Daphnia pulex: one gene and its partners. The protein of the gene in region 3 interacts with the protein of the main gene of each other region in a pairwise test. Links are inferred from orthologs where the notes say so. Each region holds a gene or a part of one and is shown on either strand. Other genes may lie near its edges. The genes, in order: mitochondrial import receptor subunit TOM70-like, cell cycle checkpoint protein RAD1-like and E3 ubiquitin-protein ligase parkin-like.

What was found.
Region 1: the proteins of E3 ubiquitin-protein ligase parkin-like (region 3) and mitochondrial import receptor subunit TOM70-like come close enough for resonance energy transfer, tested with the Homo sapiens proteins (3 studies listed by BioGRID). The link is inferred for Daphnia pulex from reciprocal best matches to the Homo sapiens genes PRKN and TOMM70.
Region 2: the proteins of E3 ubiquitin-protein ligase parkin-like (region 3) and cell cycle checkpoint protein RAD1-like interact in binary tests that used the Homo sapiens proteins (3 or more experiments, as listed by UniProt). The link is inferred for Daphnia pulex from reciprocal best matches to the Homo sapiens genes PRKN and RAD1.

Annotation. Positions count from the first base shown.
Region 1 is NC_060019.1:2,587,585-2,594,123, reverse strand, and holds mitochondrial import receptor subunit TOM70-like, read right to left. Parts: upstream 3,888-6,539; 5' UTR 3,798-3,887; coding exon 3,707-3,797; intron 3,634-3,706; coding exon 3,272-3,633; intron 3,211-3,271; coding exon 3,003-3,210; intron 2,937-3,002; coding exon 2,806-2,936; intron 2,743-2,805; coding exon 2,629-2,742; intron 2,563-2,628; coding exon 2,437-2,562; intron 2,375-2,436; coding exon 2,240-2,374; intron 2,173-2,239; coding exon 1,948-2,172; intron 1,869-1,947; coding exon 1,772-1,868; intron 1,702-1,771; coding exon 1,418-1,701; 3' UTR 1,219-1,417; downstream 1-1,218. Other genes in the region: telomerase RNA component interacting RNase-like, read left to right, coding at 267-599, 778-861, 929-998, 1,058-1,086; uncharacterized protein LOC124189772, read right to left, coding at 5,983-6,525. UniProt on the Homo sapiens protein: Acts as a receptor of the preprotein translocase complex of the outer mitochondrial membrane (TOM complex). Recognizes and mediates the translocation of mitochondrial preproteins from the cytosol into the mitochondria in a chaperone dependent manner.
Region 2 is NC_060028.1:2,683,941-2,690,370, forward strand, and holds cell cycle checkpoint protein RAD1-like, read left to right. Parts: upstream 1-2,341; 5' UTR 2,342-2,468; exon of another isoform or gene 2,469-2,920; intron 2,921-2,979; exon of another isoform or gene 2,980-3,004; 5' UTR 3,005-3,084; coding exon 3,085-3,198; intron 3,199-3,297; coding exon 3,298-3,396; intron 3,397-3,456; coding exon 3,457-3,611; intron 3,612-3,679; coding exon 3,680-3,807; intron 3,808-3,863; coding exon 3,864-3,970; intron 3,971-4,033; coding exon 4,034-4,098; intron 4,099-4,123; exon of another isoform or gene 4,124-4,163; coding exon 4,164-4,383; 3' UTR 4,384-4,400; coding exon of another isoform or gene 4,401-4,436; 3' UTR 4,437-4,607; coding exon of another isoform or gene 4,608-4,719; 3' UTR 4,720-4,752; downstream 4,753-6,430. Other genes in the region: uncharacterized protein LOC124209761, read right to left, coding at 106-238; polymerase delta-interacting protein 2-like, read right to left, coding at 4,608-4,719, 4,798-4,877, 4,937-5,062, 5,123-5,286, 5,367-5,544, 5,628-5,736, 6,115-6,164, 6,238-6,352. UniProt on the Homo sapiens protein: Component of the 9-1-1 cell-cycle checkpoint response complex that plays a major role in DNA repair. The 9-1-1 complex is recruited to DNA lesion upon damage by the RAD17-replication factor C (RFC) clamp loader complex.
Region 3 is NC_060026.1:3,259,511-3,265,959, reverse strand, and holds E3 ubiquitin-protein ligase parkin-like, read right to left. Parts: upstream 3,617-6,449; 5' UTR 3,506-3,616; intron 3,446-3,505; 5' UTR 3,391-3,445; coding exon 3,133-3,390; intron 3,068-3,132; coding exon 2,878-3,067; intron 2,817-2,877; coding exon 2,477-2,816; intron 2,409-2,476; coding exon 2,072-2,408; intron 2,010-2,071; coding exon 1,884-2,009; intron 1,817-1,883; coding exon 1,732-1,816; intron 1,667-1,731; coding exon 1,557-1,666; 3' UTR 1,054-1,556; coding exon of another isoform or gene 907-1,053; 3' UTR 845-906; downstream 1-844. Other genes in the region: translocation protein SEC63 homolog, read left to right, coding at 1-89, 149-838, 907-1,053; histone H3, read right to left, coding at 4,241-4,651; histone H4, read left to right, coding at 4,946-5,257; histone H2B.3, read right to left, coding at 5,943-6,314. UniProt on the Homo sapiens protein: Functions within a multiprotein E3 ubiquitin ligase complex, catalyzing the covalent attachment of ubiquitin moieties onto substrate proteins. Substrates include SYT11 and VDAC1.

The DNA of each region.
Region 1 (6,539 bases), on a different chromosome or scaffold from region 3:
TCATCTGAAACCGTCGGCGAGTGTTTCATCTCCATTTCAGAAATTAAAATGAAAAATACCGAGGAATGAAAACAAAACATAAATATTTTAGAAACAAAAATCTTTTGCGGATATGGCTCTCTTATCAGTTTTTAATTGTTGCGTCGAATTCCTGATATTATTTATTGAATTATTTATATTTTCGTAGTTGCGCATTTCTATCCCCAGGCATTGTCATCGTTTATGCTGACACCTAGCGGAAAATTTGTTTGTTTGTCAAAAGAAAAATGGCTTCCCCCAGAGAAGAAGGCGAATTGCTGGAAAGCTCAAGTGATAGTTCTGATGAAGAAGATTCTGAAGAAGAACCATCGGGAAAACCCGGACCGACTGCTGTCAAGTTCAAAAATGACGGAAGTTTCCTGGAAATGTTCAAAAAGATGCAGGAAAACAGTCAAACCCAAGTACCTGAGAAGACTGTACACGAACAGCAGCTGGTGAAAGATACAGACACTTCTTCTTCAGCTGAAAAGAAATGCTCTACGAAAAAGGAAGAGGAACCAGCAGCCTCAGCAGCATCACCACAACCTGTTCAACAGAAGAAACCTGGTCTCATGTCCATCGTAAGTCTTCTTCCTCCAGATTCTCCAGAGAACCAACTCAGTTGTTGAATCGTTTAAACAGACGTATCTCTTCCAGTGATCCCAAGGATGATATCCTAGCCCGACATTCGCGGCGGTTTCAGATTCAAAGTTATAGCTGAACGACACTAACGGGCGAGTCATTTCTATATCCGTACAGGTTGGAAAACGCCGTGGTGGCAAATCCCTTCCCGTTGGAGTTGTTAAGAAGCAGAAACGACCCGAGGAAGAAGAAGAAAGTAGTGTAAGTTTCCATATTTATCCCTGGCTCAAAATATGTTTTTAACATTTGTCTTTTATACATTCAATAGGGGAAAACAGATGCCTGGTCCCAGTACATGAGTGAAGTGAAGAAATACAAGGAACGGCTTGGTGATGAAGGTGATATTGCTCTATATTCTGTGATTTACACCAAATCTTAACCTTATATTTGATTACAGAGGAGAAGAACCGACCCCTGGTCAAGTGATTTTCAAACAATTCCTTTACGAGTGTGTGTTGACAATTTGACATATGTCTGATTTGCTTGTGAGTGTGCTTAAATAACAATTTAATGAAGAAAAAAAACCCTTGATACACATTTTGAAATGAAAACTTGACATTGTTCTTGTTTCTTTTATTACAAATATTACTACCCACATTTAACAAAACAAACCCTGACGAACAAGACGGTGACTCGGTTATTCAAGCTAAATTTGCGTTTTAAGGTCGATTCCATAATAAGTTGTGAAAGACTTAAGTCTACAGGGAATTCAGGAAATAGTCAAATCGTTTTTTTTCTTTTTCTTTCTTAGTCGTCATCAGTTCATGGCAGAAGGTAGGGTGACGCCAAGATTAAGGGCCACTTTAAGTTGGGCCAGAGCTGCATCTTTCAATGAAAAGAGGTGCGAAACCTCGGCTTCCGTTTTCGATAACGGAATAGCTTTATCAAAAAGCTCGATCGCCCGTCGTAGGTTGCCGCGTTGAACTTCGATCGTACCAAGAGTCTCGTATGCGAATTCGCACTTGTCATCCATTCGTATAGCCTCTTCGATATGCTTAGTTGCCAATTCAACGTTACCAGTAGACTGCAGCTGGAGCAGACCTGCGTCCGACAAGATAAGAGTTTTAATTATAGCTCCCCAGCTCCTAAAATTAAACAGACATTTCAGTACCTCTATGCACATATGCAGTGGCGTTGTGAGGGTCCACTTCAAGAGCTTTCATAAACAACTCGTCGGCCTTCACAAACTCTTGTTGATCAGACAACACCTGATAACAAAACCGATTAGAAAAAGAAAAAAAATAAGATACTGTCCACAACAAATGAATAATTAGGGTTCCAACTGACTTGTGCATAGAGAAGGAAGCATTCAGGGCAAGTAGGGAATCGGCGGATGGCATCTTCGAACGCTGCCAATGATGCAACGACTTCTCCGGCGTTGCTCATCGCTACAGCGGCTCGGTAGTCTGTGTAGAGCTTCTGGACAAGAGCAATGGGAAAATCTCCATTCAGAGAAACAGCTTTGGCGAAATCACTCATGGCTTCACTGGCTTGATCCAGCAACATGTAAACCTGACAAGAGGGTGGAATACAATTTAGTGAAACCTTTTAAATTCATGAAAGTCAAAAACGGATATACCTGTCCTCTGTGATGGAAGACGTCAGCATTTTCTGGCCCGAGCTCGGCGGCCATCAGCAAATCGTGTAAACTTTCTTCAGGGGAACCAAGTTGCATCCGGAGAGTGGCCCTTTTCACCAAGGCGTTCACCCTAACCTAAAAATTGACAAATACGTTGAGATAAATATGGGGAGAATGTTTTTGTATATTAATTTCACCTTGGGGTCTGTTTCAGGGTCGTTGAATACTGAAGAAAAATCGTCCAAGGCTTTTTCATGCTCGCCAAGTAGGGAAAGGAACGTTCCTCGTAGAAGCCTTGCAAGTCTTTTGATTGTTATGTCACCCTGTTAATAAAGAGACAAGATACTGTGAAATTAAGGTTTCAAAAATTTACTGTCCTATTTCCCTACCGCTTCAGATTCGAGTTCATTCGTGCACAATTCAATAATGGGGTCGAATTCTTTCTCTCTCAACTTGTCCAAGGCTTTGGCGAAATAGCTCTTTTCTTCATCTGTTTCTGGTTGCTGAGAGATAAGATTACAGATAAGAGGAAACGAAACCAAATGAATAATTCTGTTTGCTTTTACCATCGTATTGTCCTGTTTTAGTAGATTAAAAACGGGGTCTTCCGCAAAAGAACACATGAAAGTGTTGACAGAGTGTTTGGACGGAATGACAGACTGTCGGTTTAGCATGGCTTCTTTGGCATGTTCCTTCCCTGCGTGGATCGATCAACGTCTCTTTTCAAATTATTCTGGAGGTAAAGAAATGGGGGAAAAGTTACCTAAATCTTTAAGCACTCTATCAGCCATCAATAATGATGACTGATTCTGAAAGGCCTCCAATATGCATACAGCGGTAATATCTTCTAAGCATGCCTCTAACTGCTTTGTTATTTCATAGGCCTTTGCTCTTCTGTGCAGAGCTTTGACATACTTTGAGTTGTACTGGAGAGCTTCTGTGCAGTCTTTAATGACAGCTTCATAGTTTTTCTGTGAGAGTTAGGCAATATTTATAGGTTGTTGAATTGTTAGTAACATTCTGTATAGGTACCAGTTGTTCAAAGGCGGCTGCCCGGTTCTGGTGGAAAAGGGAAATATCTGTGTTGTCTTTTGGACAGATATCTATGGCTTGTTGGTAGCACTTGATCGCATCTGAATATTTGCCTTCTTTGAAATACTTATTGCCTTTGTTCTTGTATGTTTGGGCCTGCTTGTTAGGGTCTTCTTCTACCACTGGAGCAGCACTTTTTCCAGTGCTGTTATCTATTCCGTTGGCTTTCTTGGGTGGTTGAGTTTCACCAGTGACTGTGACACTAGTAGCTACATCTTCTACACTTTTCTTGCTCTGCTTGTCTTCCTTGTCTGCAGGCTGAATTCCAGTTTTCCTCGATCGATAATACCATATACCGAGTCCTGGAAAAGCCACACATGTGCTTTACATTAGCCATTTTAATTGAAGTCTAACAAGCAATTAGAAAAAACTTACCTAAGGCTACTGGAGCTCCAATAGCTAAAGCTATTTGCCATTTAGGCAATGAAAGCCCGGACGAGGAACCTGCACGTGCGGATCCAGACATTGTTGTGTAAAATGTTTTTTTCCTGGTTGAATGCAGTCAGCAGTCACGGAAACTCCAGACGACGTGCAACGCTCGGGACTGTATTTTTTAAGACCGGCTTTTTTCAGCAACGCAGTTGAAATCGTGAACACTAGATGGCTTAAAGCGGGAATTTGAATTAAATTACCCAATATTCGTGCTATAAAATGCAATCGGTAACCGGATCACACCACTTTTTCCCGTTTTCTGGCGTAATAATCAACAATTTAAATAAATTTAAATCTGTTTTTTAAATAACAAAATTAATCGATTTTTTATGATTTCGGGTGCGTTCAAAATCTTGTAAATTTATGGTGAACTGTGTTCACTAGCATTTTATACCAACTTTATTATAGTACGATTAACTTGACTACAAATAAAAAAATTCCAATCATTATCAATCATAATTTTTCAAAGTCACGAACCCTCTGACGTCATCCGCAGACGCATTCTCAAAAAATCAGCAACATATTTTGAGAAGATTTGTTAACACTTGAAATCACTGGATTGTTGCGACAACACATGACGACTGATGGACATTTCACCACTACGGTAGTTTGTTTAACTTTGGTTCCGAGTCAGAGTGTTAAATTTAAAGGTGACACATGTGTTCTTCTTCGATGCATGTTGTGTACCTAATCTTACTTGAACTCGTGTTATTTCTATCTGTAGTTTAGAAGTTAGAACAACCCACGTATTTAAGTAGAGAAAATAACGTTTTCATTTACGTCAATTATGATAAAAGCAAATCAAATCCTAACACATTTACAGAAATGAATGTCGGTTTTCATGCAAGAATTTTTATTAAGATAACATTATAATGTTATTAAACACACTATAGTGTGTTTAAAATAATGTTTTTAAGTCGTGTGCTTGAAGTAGAAGTGAACAAAATAAAGGTAGGATGGAAGAAAAAACTTTTTGAAAGTGAAAGACGTTATTGCTTATGGAGTTGAACAAAAAAAAAACTTATTCAAAAAAATGTCACGAAATATACAAATCACAAAGAAAGGTATAGCGAATAGGAAACGCCTGTTGTTCAGTAAGACTAAAAGGATACAGATAGACGGCAAAATTAACTTATTAGCAGCCGCCAAGTGGTTTATCTACAATACAATAAACACAAAGAAATACTGATTACGATAGCGGTCTAGCAATTCGAAGTCGCCGAAAGAAAGTCTCGTTTGGTGTAGACGAGACACAACGTAACGATAATTTAACTATTGCGAGAAAACATAGCCACTTCATACAAAAGAATTACTTACGACAGTTAGACTTGATTTCACTGGTTTTTGGTTTCGCAGATCAAGTTATCAACGTGGAACAAAGTCCATCACAACAATATCCACTTTTCAAATCGTAGTCGTAGCGTAGGTATGAATAGAATAGAAAGGTAGGCGCAGTAGTTTGATGTGCTGTCGTTAGATGCTCCGGCAGTTGGTACTCGAAAAGTGCCAGAAATGGTTCAGCAGAGGACGGTTCATATTGAAGGACGATTAGCTGAGAATAACTGTGCCTAAAGTTAAATTAAATATGTGATGGATCCGTAAATGGTTTAAGGTTAGATTTTCAAATAGATATATTAATTTACATCAGCATCACACTCAAACTTTTGGCCAGTTGAAAACGAACAATCACAACTATACATGCTGAAGCGCTAGCTGTTTCTTTTATTGCTCCACGTATAGCAGCGCCCTGGCAGCGCCACATAAGGAAAAAGAATCTGAGGCTCTGCTCCAGATCTCATTTTAAAACTGGCGGCGACAACGTAAACAACATTAGCGTAAACAAGGTTCAGTCTATTTTCAGTATAGTCCAAGAAGGCAAGTCGTCACAAACAGAAAATAACGTTTACGCCATTGAAGATTGAACAAGAATTCAATTTGAAGTCAAATCCAAGGATACCAAGTGCTGTTATCTAGAAATTGTAATACAATTTCGTGTGAATTTCGTTGAGAAACAAGATTTGAAGAAAGACATTTAACTGCAAGTTAGTCAGCCGTTGTTTGTTTCCGTAAGATAAGATATAATACTTAAATTAAACCTGTTAAATGATTGAAGTGAGTCTTTCGATTAAATCTCCTTTGTATTCAAGTTAGCAATTAAACATCACAAAAGTTTTTATGGCTCGAATGATAACGCGACGCCAATCACCGGCGCATAAAGTCTAAAACAAGTCATTGAACCTTCGCAATTTTTTTAATTGCTCGACACAATCCGCTTCGAAGATTCTTAATCGATTGCTGGCCATTCCGAGTTGTTTGAGCATTTGGCAGAGATCAATCATGCATGTGAGCATTGCTTCTAGCCAATATGAATCTTGAATTTTGTTGTGCGTTCCATGGTTACGAATTTGTTTTACCATTTTTAATTTGTTCACAATCCTATTGCGATTTCGTGTCTCTTCAGAAGTTGATTGCCCAGGACGTGAAAAAACGGATGGTGTATTTTCTAAAAATTCAGCAATTTTTTTGACAATGTCAGTTGCACCTTTTTCTTCAAGGTCTTGGCGAGTCTCTTCAGCGAGTCCCAATCTTAAGTTCCGCAACAGGATATCGGCAAATTCCGTGTACCAAGCTAACAGCATAATCGGTCGCCTATTTGCATTTGAGATGTCGTTCATGCGATAATAGTCCCCGTGGATCATGACGAAGTTATCGTCGGCGAATCCCATTCGTCTAGCAGGATTTATTTCCATATCAGAGTCAGACTTCAGGGTTGACA
Region 2 (6,430 bases), on a different chromosome or scaffold from region 3:
CGAAGAGATCACAGGGGGGGGGAAAGGCAAAGTGCCCTTCGCCCCGCTTCTTGCATCACTGCTGCATGGCTGAGGGGAGGGGAGGGAAAAAATGGGCCGTGATACCTTGCATGTAATGTTGGATCCATTTCTTTTTGGGTGCCGAAGTCATGGTGCTGCTACGACCCACCAACTCCTCCGTAGCAAACACCCCCATGACCATCGATTGTAACTGGATATGAGTCGATTCATTCACCATCCGCTAGTCAACTCGAAACGGCCCGTAGTTTCCAATGCTCCCCAGAGGAAAAAACAAAAACAAAAACAAAACGACGACCACTGGGAGGGAGGAAAAATTGTTGCCGAGTCGCATTCAACAGTCACAACGCATTGCAAAATAACTCACAGGGGCCCCCCACCACCACCACCGTGGCGATGACGTCGTAACACACAAGATGCGCGCGCGCAAACTCCCAAACATACATACACACACACACACGTCCACACACGGGGAGCCACACTCACACAAATAAAATGATAATATATTAAAGAGTCTCTCTCTCTCTCTGCACTAGCCGACCTTCGATCGTAGACTGGTGAGCCAGTATCCGTTGCGGCTGCACTACGGCGTGAGTGGCGACCTCCTTCTCCTCCTCCTCCTCCACCTACCATCATCACTTGCCACCCGTTACCGCACGCTCTCCCTCCCTCCCCCCTCTCTTATATAATCAGCCATGTCGTTGGCTGCGTGCGCGACGACTTTGTTTTCACTCCCGGACTCTCTCTCTTTCCTATCTAGCTCTTGACCTCCCCCATCCGCTCTACAATGCACACCACCACCCTCCCAGTGCGAGCGGGATACACACACACACACACACTGGTTAGCACGTGCGGGTTGTGGAACCGAAGTGGGCGGGGCTTTGCCACCCTTTTTTCGGATCTATTTCGGCGTGTTACCCGCGCACGCACGCCACTCTCCCCGAGATTCGCAGTTGCGCAAATAGATCGCTCTCCTCACCCACCTCTCTCTCTCCCACTCCCGACACCCGTTCTTGCTTGTTCTTGGCGAGCCTGGAAAAATAAAAGAGGAGGAGGAGCTTTTTTGAATGGACTGTTGCCAACGTCAAAATGCCAATGCGCAGGCTCTAACTTCGTAGAGATCGAGGTCAACAATCGATGTCGACATTCTCGATGACCGTAGTGTGACGTTGGGGAAGAAGAAGAAATAAAATAAAAAAGACACGCTCCAACAGAGGCACCTGGCGGGGGCAATTACAGATTCAAAGGCCAGAAAACCAAAAGATTGATGAGCTCATATCCTCCAACACCAAACACAATAGGGAACTGATTCACAACCTTTGGCTCTGCAGAGCTCGAGAAATTCAAGACTGGGGGTGCACGAGCTTCTAAGCAGTCTGATATTATAAAGACTTTGCATGCACAAACTGATGTCAGTATGAGCAATCCTGCTTGTTTCTAGGAGGGAACGGGGACTAGATTAAACTTGTGCAAAGCAATTACCTTGGGTCTGTCGCTCTACAAATAGAGCGGCTTCCAGGAGAATCTCCAAACTCATTGTTGGACAACCACCAGCCGCTGAGTGTTAGACCTGTGGGTCAAGAAGACACAAACAGTTTTAGTCAACAGTGTAACAGCATTGAACAACAACGATGACATCCAGGATCCACATTGCATCAATATCAAATGAAAAAAAAAATAAAAATTCACACAGACGCACGCACACAGGGTCATTCGCTTTTGGGTTTCAGTACTCGTTTCATTTTGGCCTGAGGCTGGCGGCCTTGAATGAGCTCTCTATAGTCTATCAAAAGAAAACTTTTAACAAGAGGAAAATGCCTCTTTGTTTGCTTGCTTTTAATGTCTAAACTAAATGCGACAAGAATTAAATCGGCAAAAGATACTGCATTTAGTCGAAAAACCAAAGTCACTCTGATCGCCAAAGTGACGTTTGAAAACTAACACTACATCACAAGATAATATTATCGAGAAAAACTACGCACTTCAAGCGAGGCACCAGGCTACACGTGTCCCAGCGATGACGTCACCAAAATGGGCGTCACCGATTTTTGCCTTTAGGTTTTCTTGGGGGCGCCGAAGCTACTACTATTGCTGCTTGCCGAGTAGTCTACGTGCCGAATTACTGGGTTATAAATGCCGGTAAATCAAACAATCGAAACTCGATTGCACACATACTTAGCCACAAAAGAATTACACTTCACTTCACGGTTTAAGTCTCAGCACCGAAAAAGACGTTTGGGCTGTTTTTTGTCTTGTATCTGTTATCACGTTGCTCCTCGCACGTGAAAGAGAACTGCTCCCCTTCAACACCGCCAACTAAGGCGGTACCGAACTGAGTACACGCGTCGACCGCTACAACAACGATACTGGCGGCAAGTTTTCTCCCTCGCTCCGAACCATCAACAGCCATCAACTTGGTTCTTTTTTCATTCGTCCTTTACTGCTTTTATGTATTTTTATTTAAAATTTCATCTTTTCATGACTTTTACATTTAAATTCATTTCCCGCTGCCTTAATCAGTTGAAAACTATGTTTGGAAGCCAAAACATTTCTAGGTGGCGCAATGGTCGCATACGACCAATGGGCGTGCTCATTTTCGAATTCCCCATCTCTAAACTGTTGTTTTCTCGCGTTGTACAACGCCGCAATGTTTCTGACTTTCTGTTTAATAATAACAATATTTTCCTGTTTGAATCAATAAGCCGGTAGGCTTTTTCGTCGTCTCGAGATTAAAACTTGAAATTTTTACTTCCATTCCATTGCAGACAGTTTAGCACTTTTTAAATCCAACAAATTTGATTGTGCTGTATAGTTGATTGTGATAAACACAACCAGATTTTGAATTCAGTCAAAACTAGAATAATTCGTCTCGAATCATAGTTCTCTTGGATGTAACAGTTGGGTCGGTTCATTTTTTGTGCAGTACATTTTTCTGTAAAAAATCCTAGCCTTATTAACCAGAACATTTTTTCACTGATCATTTCAGGATGATCCTTTAGGAACCCTTTGCATAATTCTCAAAACTACTCCCACAACATTAAAGAGCAAACGAGTCCCACATTCACCATGCCAAATTTTCCATTTCAAAACACGTCTGGAGACCAAAGTCACATCTTGATGATACGTATGGATAATGCAAAAATTATCTCACATATCCTCAAATCCATAAATTTCAAAGAGGTAAATTCTTCAAGAATTGTAATACAGAGAAAACATGTTTTGTTAGCGATCAAAAGCTAATCCTATTACATCCTTCTTGTGATTTTGCTTTCCTTTCAGAATTCCGTATTTTGCTGTACTAGAGATGGATTAAAAGTCACAGTTGAAGACATGAAAAGTGTCCAGCTAAATGCCTTTATAGAGCCTGGAGTTTTTCAAGTAAAAAGAATTCACAAAAACAATAATTTTCACAAAATTTACTAACTCTTTGAAATTTAGAGTTATGTTATTAAAGAAGATGAGATTAAATTTCAGCTTAATTTAACTGTGCTTCTGGAATGTTTGAATGTATTTGGCTCTAACAACCTTCAAAGTGGCAGCACACCAGCCTTGAAACTCTACTATAACGGCCATGGGACTCCCGTTTCTATCTTGTATGTAAAACTACAAAGAATAATCGTTCTTTATACTTATTTCGAATTATAATTTTTTTTTTTGGCAGGCTGGAAGAATCAGGAGTTATCACTGACTGCAAGATACGTACAGTTCATTTTGATCCTGTCCTGGATTACGATTTTGGGTCGGCTAACGTCATCGGTCGTATCATTATGAGTTCGGAATGTCTTAAAGGTAATTAAGCGTTGAAAGAAGACAGAAATTTCCTAATATAATTATTGTTTTTATAGAGGTGTTTTGTGAGTTGGACTCGACTAGTGATACTGTTCAGTTTTCTTTGTCACCTGATTCGTCAAATTTTCGTATCACAACATTTGGTCATTCAGGAACTTATCATGTAAATCACGTTGTAAAGTTTTTAGTGAAGCGCGTTCTAATTCTAAACGTTTTGGGTTTCAAGGTCGATATTCCGAAAGAGAGCGATGTAATAGAAACTCTTCGTTGTACCTCGGCAGTGTCCTTTAAGTACGAAATAGATACACATACATAATAAGGCGTACACGATGTATTAGCTCAATTTCTGACTTTAGATACAAGCTCTCCTTGATGAAACCATCCATCAAACCCCTTGGAATAGCGCAAAAGGTTTCGCTACGAATCGACGATACGGGGCTCATATGTTTCCAATTCATGATCAAGGTAGAAGACAACCACAACTGTTACATCGATTTTTACGTAAGTTCATTTTTTTTTCCAAGTTCTATCCGTCAAATTACGTTTTACAACCGTCCTCTCCCTTATACACTCTAATAATTGATTTCTTATAGTGCCCTGCGGACGTCGACTTCGACGACGACGAATGAATGCCACGAGAACGAATTATTGACCGCATCACTAAAACGAAAAAAATGCCCTAGAATTATTCTAGAACGAAGATCTTTGAAAACCTTAGAAAAAACTAAAAAGCCAGCAGTTGTCTTTCATGTACAAAGTTTGTTGTTGTTCATATTTCATGATTATCATGAACGACTCCATTAAACCACGCCGGTTGGCAAGCTATTATCCTCGTTCTTGCTTTCCAATGAAAAGGGAGGGATGCGACAGTCAAAGGTGTGCCCATCTTCTCTCTCCATTCGAAACGTTCCCCTGTTCATAAAAAAAATAAATTATTTGAACTTGGCTGTTGTACTCTTTAATAAATAGTGAAAAATAACTTGAAATTACCACATATGCCCTGATGGTGCTTGTAGTGAAATATGGCTGCTATACTGGAACGCTGGTTGTTCGGGTGACAAGACCGGTTCCTTAAGAACGATTTAATGTTACATTCTAATTTTGAACGGTGGTTATTGACGTTAATTACCTGTCCAATTACTCCTCTTCCTCGAACCGTTTCTAGGGTACCCGAAAGACTGAAAATACGCCAGTGCCGTTCACGTAATTGTACAGACAGTTCTCCCAAGTTTTCGAGCCGGATACAGTAACGCCACTGCAAAAGTTAAAAATTACATTTGTAAAAAATTTGATTCACATTACCAATGGAACGAACCCAAAAGACAGTTGAATTTTGGGATTCTCGGCATCCCATGTAAAAAGGAGTAACGGTTACACGGATATTCTCTGTCGTTTCTTTGTGTACATCTGATAATTCCAGCCAAGGGTGATTTCTTTCTTGCCACGCTCGCAACGTCTCTCTTGCTTCAAACGGAGGATCTGCACTTTATATATCGATGATTCGTGTTAAAAAAATTCGATAGTAGATTCGCAATGTAGCTGGGCGGGAAAACATTAACCTTTATCGGGGTCAGGCATAAGAAATTTGTCAAAAAGCTCGTGACATAAGGGTTGGTGCTCAGTGGTTCGATACGGCAAGATATCTTCGTGAGCAGCATAGTCCAGACCAGGAATAGCATAAAGCGACTTGCTATTTTCTTGTTGACCTAAAAATGTGACCGCTTCTGTTTGTGCTCTCTTAATAAACAGAAATCTAGTTTTACTAAATGTGCTCCTGAAAACTGAAAAGGTCATCAGCTTAAGAAAAGTTAAATACTCACAATATGAGGACAGTCGCGGGAATCAATGAGCACCTGATAGTAAGTATGGTTTTTCCCTTTTACTTCTCTTCCAACTTGATTAGAGGTATTAACATCAGTATCAGGAGTTCTGTATTTTTTTTAAGTACAGGATTAGCAAGTATTTCATGAGAGATGATGTAAGCTATGTCTGCAAAAGCTTGTCCCTTGCACATATATTATGGAAAACAAAACTTTGTTTTTACAGTACTATTCTTAGATCTTTTTCAATGGCAATGGAAATGAAAATGTTACAGTAACAGAAATGCAATATGGAATTTAGAGTGGACATGTTGAATTAACATTTTACAAATCCTAAAGCTAGCAGAGTTTGAGATTCTCTGCTGTGTTGAGATATTGTTGGTGTAGCTGGAATTGATGAACTACCTCACATTCACATTGCTAAAGTATAGTCTTCCAAGAATAATGTGTTTACAATAAGATACCTTACAATATAAAGGGTACATACTTTGTAGTTTTCTTGTTTGCCAAAATATCTCGATCATACACTCTAGCTGACTGGATTGAAATAAACATTTAGAGTATTTAAAGAAATTATGATATCAAAATTAAGTTTGGAAACAATATTTACCCAGGGGAAAAGAATCACACCTCTGTAGCCAAAAACACGATGAAGGAAAAGTTGGCCAGCATCATATTTTCCTTGAATTTTAGGTATCTCCAATTTTCCAACTTCAACCAAAGATCTATTCCCGGCCAAAATATGTAATGAAAAATTTATTTATTATATTTTACGTTTCCTTTTACCGTTGGAAAAAGGTAAC
Region 3 (6,449 bases):
GAGGAATGCCTTATGTGGATATGAATATTAAATATGAAGTAGTGGATGACGAATCCACCACAAAGTACACAGCTGGCGCTATCGTCACGGTAAGATGAATTTTTACAAAATAGTTTCAACGGTCGGAGAACTCATTCTTTTAAATCAGGTTACGATCGCCTTGGCAAGGAGAGATTTGAGCGTTCTGTTCGCTAACGAGAAGGAAACAACAAATGAAGTTTTCGAGAACGGTGAAGTGATAGCGGAAGAAGAAGAAAAACAGGAACCCAAAAAGAAGTCACTACCGTGGCAGAAAAACAAAGGCAAGAGAGCTACTAATAAAAAAGGCAGCAAAAAGCCAATAAAGAAGGAAGTAGAAGATAAGAAGAAGACTGCAGCAGCATCAAGTAAAACAGCTAACAAGACAAAGGAAGAAGAATCCGAAAGTTGTAGTGAAGTTGAAGCCGAGGACGAAGTTGAATTGGACGAATCTGACGACGGCGAGGCGGAAGCAGCCAACAATGATGGTTCTTTGCCCGAGAAAGACGACGATCAATTAGAAAAGCTACAGAGTGATGTTGCAATGCGTCGCCAGAGGCTGCTGGAGGGTAAAAGTCAGTTTTCGCACTCGGTGTACTGCCCGTTCTATCCCGAAGACAAACAAGAATATTGGTGGGCTTATATTACGGACCGGAAACAACAAATGCTTCTGACCGCCCCCTATCACATTACCAATCTAGTAGAGCACGAAGAAATCCAACTCAAATTCACAGCTCCGTTCAAGCCGGGATTCTACACGTTCGCCGTGTGTTTACGCTCCGATTCATATTTTGGTTTTGATCAAATGAAGGATATCAAGGTATATTCCGGCTAATTATTTTAATTTTGCTAAATAGGTTATTGATTGATTAAAATTTTAATTCACAGATGGACGTTAAAGAAGCAGAGGAGATTCCTACTGAGCATCCACAATGGGATATTTCCGATGATGAGGATGAAGAAGATAAGAACTCTGGAGGCTCCGAATCTGAATTTGCTACCGATGATGATGACGAAGAGAGTGGCAAGGACTGATTGCAGTAGAAATGAGACTTTTTTTTCACTTGCCAGAGACTTCAACATTCTGTTCATTGGGAAAAAGGATTCAATTTCATCACCGTCTTGTAAAGGCTTAAAATCTTGAAAAATTTATTTCTAGTGGGAATCTTCTGGCTTTATTTTCATTGGCTATACATATGGGTATTTATCATTCCCTATACCTCGACTGCCGATTACACAAATCTTGTCTAGGCCTTCAATCGGTGAAACACGGGATGTTTGCAATATTTTGATTGTGACAGTTGGAAAATTAAAGGCTTCTTAAGACTTCCCTAGAACAGCATTTGAATATTTCGGATAAATGATTCATTTCAATTTTCAATTAACAGATTTGTCTAGATTATTATAGGAACCAAATGTCATCAATTTCTTGACTAGTATAGCGTAAAGAAATGTACACTCTCCACCCTTATACTACCCGACACCAAGGAACCACGGTACTTTATAAAAGGGTTGATAAAGAAAGCGGAAAGGTTGTCTTATCCGAACCAGTGACTTCCCATGCACTCTCTTGTCCACTCCGTTTGACAAACCCAGCACCAATGAAATCCACACTGTTGTCGAGTACAGATCATGTGCATACAACCTCCTGTGAACAAACAAGAAATTAGCTACACCGTTAGAGAAATAATCCCAGATCATAATTTAATTTACCATCTCGCTCGGTTGGCGTTCGGCACTTTGGGCAAGGTTTTGAAGTAACACGTATGGTAACGCGACTGTCTGCATCCCACCTCGCCTAAGTAAATAATTTCATGTTACTCATTTAATCTAGAATCAAGCTCAAATGTGGATATTAGAGAAACCTGAGCAGCTCGTCCGGGATCTACAACGTACTCGGTGGTTGTCAACATGGATTGAAAGTTGTTTTCTCCATTTGTCTGACACTCGTCGATGTGATAGCCTTGTAGGCAATCGCGGCAGAACACGAACTGAGTTGCGAAAAACATTTAGACATTTTTTAACAAGGTTATATTTATGAGAATATGCTTACCTCACATCCCCCTGTGCATTGAATTCGGCGACAAGAAGGGTCCGCAAGTAAGCCCATTCCACAGCCAGGTTGTGGACAAAGCACACCACCTGTCGACATAACATATTCCTCTGCTCCAAAGTGCAGGAGTCGTTGGTACTGCTCATTTCCTAGAATTTTAAAGTGCTGGGTTCCGTCGATCAATGAGTTCTCACATCCAGCTGGACAAGGCAGGGTATAACCGATATTGGGATCGAAGACAAACCTCCTTTCGTTCAATCGAGACATACAGTATTGCTGGAAGCACTCCAAACATATCACATGAGAGTTGGTACATTGAAATACCAAAACAGGATCACTAAAGTGGGATATTAAAATAAGTTGCCAAGTTACTGAATTCTATCTTAACTTTAAAACGATTGCTACCTAATATCCATGCAGGCCAGGCACTGAACCTGTTTGAAGTTTGATTTGACGAGATTCAGAGGAAGAGTTGAGTCAGTCTCTCCTCGTGAAGGGTGATGTGCGCACTTGAAGTAGAATTCGGCCCACGAATGATCACAATCTTCCATCTGACAAGTACCACTAACTTGCTCCGGTCGTAAAACATCATCCCAGCAGCAAGGATCTCGGTCCACGGTGAAGGCACCAGCTTTGCAAAGGCTACATCGAACTCGAAGTTTACCACTTTGTATTGATTTGCATGGAAATTCACAGTAAACATAAAACTGAGCTTTCTTTTGCTTATACTCTGGAGAACTACAAGCTAAAAACGAGGAAGTTGTCAGAATTCATAAAATGATTTGGAAAACTATTTGCAGACGTACCCAGAGATTTGTGCAACAATTTCTGTTCCTCTTCAGTTAACTGCAAGTCGAGCAATGTTTCACAAAGAGGCTTGTCTTGATGAAATGGTGTATTTCTCCTATTTTTGTCTTCGGAAGAAGTTGCATCAGTTTTTTTTATGACTTTAAGTTTAACAGCATTTAGAATACTATTATGACCAAGATCACACTCCTAAAAATTTGTTGGGTAAATTAAACTTAGAATATCAACAAAAGCAATATAAGAAATTAACAAACCTCTAGTAACAAGTCATCAGCAAGACTTTTGCCAGCCAAAATAATGCTGATATCTTCAACTTTCAGACCAACTTTAGGGGCTATAAATTTCTTGATCCGAGCTACATCCCAATCTCGACTCATTTCGATAAGAAATGTTTTACCTCCTGCAGCTTTTATGTGAACAGGCAGGGTAAATTCACTTGAATCACTGGGCCAAAAAAATCTCAAAATTCTGTTCAATAATGAACGTATGAGCGACAACAGCCATTTAATCATTCTGTAGGTTTACGTGAAAAACCCAAGATTGAAGAACATTATGAAAGCGAGATATCTACGTAAAAAATGTATAATTTAAATAACCAAAAATATTTTATATTTTTATATTGCATACCGGCACGAACTGAAAATATTGTTTACGTTGGCTTCGGTTGAAATGAATTGGAACAAACGTCGTCTGCAGTCTGCTGTGAAATGGACTAGCAACAATTTCGTCATAATATTTAGTTAGTAGGTTGACGCTAGCACCTTCTCTTCGTCACTCTCATCAACAAGTCAACTTCGTCTTATTATATTTAGCAGAGTATATAAAAGGTAACGAAATTATCTGTTATTCTGGTGTTTAGTGAGATTGTGGCTTGTAGGCTTTTATGGCTCTAGAAGGTCAACTTAAACTTGTCAAACTAAAAACTGCTGTAAATTTCTAGAATAAGTAATGTCGAAAAATCCTTGATATACTTAACCTCTTTCGTAAGCCCCTCTTTTTCGGTCATACCTACACGTTTATTTACATAAGTAATTATCGAAATCCGTACTTTAACTGAAAATGACGAACCCAACAGAAGTCGACCAAATCATGTTACTGGGTTACTTTTAATTAAATTAGTTTTAGGTCTTATATAACGTTACACTTCTTATAGCAACTAACTAATTATTCTAAAATTCAACCTTGGATGAAAGAAATTTATACAACTATTAATTTCCAGAAAATTAGAAAGAAGTTGGTAATTAAACAATACTGATCTAGTTTAATCCAAGATATTGAAATGTCTGGCAGGAAAAATCTTTTCAAGCAACTAATGGTGGCCCTGAAAAGGGCCGATTGGTAAGTCAAAAGGGAAAAGGTCGCTTAGGCACGTTCACCACGAATACGACGAGCGAGCTGGATGTCTTTTGGCATGATGGTGACTCGCTTGGCGTGGATGGCGCACAAGTTGGTGTCTTCGAAAAGACCCACCAAGTAAGCCTCGCTGGCCTCCTGCAGGGCCATGACGGCCGAGCTCTGGAAACGCAAATCTGTCTTGAAATCCTGGGCGATTTCTCTGACCAAGCGCTGGAATGGCAACTTGCGGATCAGAAGCTCGGTCGACTTTTGGTAGCGACGGATCTCACGAAGGGCGACGGTGCCGGGACGATAACGATGGGGTTTCTTGACTCCTCCAGTGGCCGGGGCACTCTTGCGAGCGGCTTTGGTGGCCAACTGTTTGCGGGGCGCCTTGCCACCGGTGGATTTACGAGCAGTTTGCTTGGTACGAGCCATTTCGAGCGAGTGAAATTTCAGATGTCCTAACTAGTGAAAAGTGCTTGGTATATGTGGGGAACCTACGGACGTTGCAGAGCTAAGCGAGTTCACTGGCTAGGGATTGGTTAATTCAAAAATGGGAGGGAATAGAAAATTTATAACGGAAATCCTTTTTGTTGACAAATGATGGCTGGAGCTGAGTTCCACCAATAGGAGTTCAGCTTGAGGATCCGGTAGGGTATATATTGGGACCATAGTGAGTTTAACATAACATCATTCGATATTTTTTAAATCTCTGAAACTTATTTGAAAATGACTGGTCGCGGCAAAGGAGGAAAAGGACTCGGCAAGGGAGGCGCCAAACGTCATCGCAAAGTTTTGCGTGACAACATCCAGGGAATCACCAAGCCGGCCATCCGTCGTCTTGCCCGTCGTGGTGGTGTCAAGCGAATCTCTGGTCTCATCTACGAGGAGACCCGCGGTGTGTTGAAGGTGTTCCTTGAGAACGTGATTCGTGACGCCGTCACCTACACTGAACACGCCAAGAGGAAGACGGTGACGGCCATGGACGTCGTCTACGCATTGAAACGCCAGGGCCGCACTCTGTACGGCTTCGGCGGTTAAATTTGATTCCGATTTATTATTTTAACTCCTGACTCAATCCAATCGGCCCTTTTCAGGGCCACCATTTACTTAAAGAAAAAGATTTCTTAACCACTTTTTAAACCATATTCTTGTCGACTTTATGCTGCTACAAGAACAAAATCCTTGAATTTTGAATTAATAAGCATCATTCTTTTATTTCATCTTTGAAAGATTTGATTGACATAGCAGGTGTTGGAGCAATGCGTCCTAAAGGATCTTGTGATCTGAAACTATGTTAATCCAAATAACTCGATCGAAAAATATCGAGATGCTGTTATGTTATTGATATTGTTTTCTCAGATTTTACGCAGTATTTTTATTTTTAACTTTCATATTTAACAAAAATCTTCCTTAGTTCCTTAGTATGTAGAAGGAGTTGCTAACGGAGATAAATTTTAATATCAATCATTTTCTAAATCAAATGAATATGTAAAATCAACGCATTGAACCGGATCTGCCAAACTTAAAATTCAGCAGAAAGATAGAGAAAAGCTCTTGATCACAGTATTTCCTAACGTTCCGTCGCACTAATCAACAATATGGGTTCAGTTTAGAACTCGATTAGATAATAAATGTCAAAAGTAGTTAGATGTTTTTCCTTTCTTTAAAATTTGGTGGCCCTGAAAAGGGCCGTTTGGTTTGTAGAGAGAACAAGAGGATCACTCTACTTGGTGCTGGTGTACTTGGTCACTGCCTTGGTGCCTTCAGACACGGCGTGCTTGGCCAACTCACCGGGCAAGAGCAGACGGACGGCCGTCTGGATTTCCCGGCTGGTGATGGTCGACCGCTTGTTGTAGTGGGCGAGACGGGACGACTCTCCAGCGATGCGCTCGAAAATGTCGTTGACGAAGCTGTTCATGATGGTCATGGCTTTGGAGGAGATGCCAGTGTCGGGGTGGACCTGCTTCAACACTTTGTAGATGTAAATGGCGTAGCTCTCCTTCCTCTTGCGCTTCTTCTTCTTGTCGCCCTTGGCGATGTTCTTCTGGGCCTTGCCGGCCTTCTTCGCAGCTTTACCGCTTACTTTAGGGGGCATTCTTGGACTTGGAAATCTCAGAAAGTGAAGTCCGCTTGTCCGAATTTCTTCTTTATACTGATATCGGCTCCCCTTCACTACTTGATGGTAGCCAAAACTCTCGTCTCCAGAGACTTGCGTGTATCACGTAGGTGT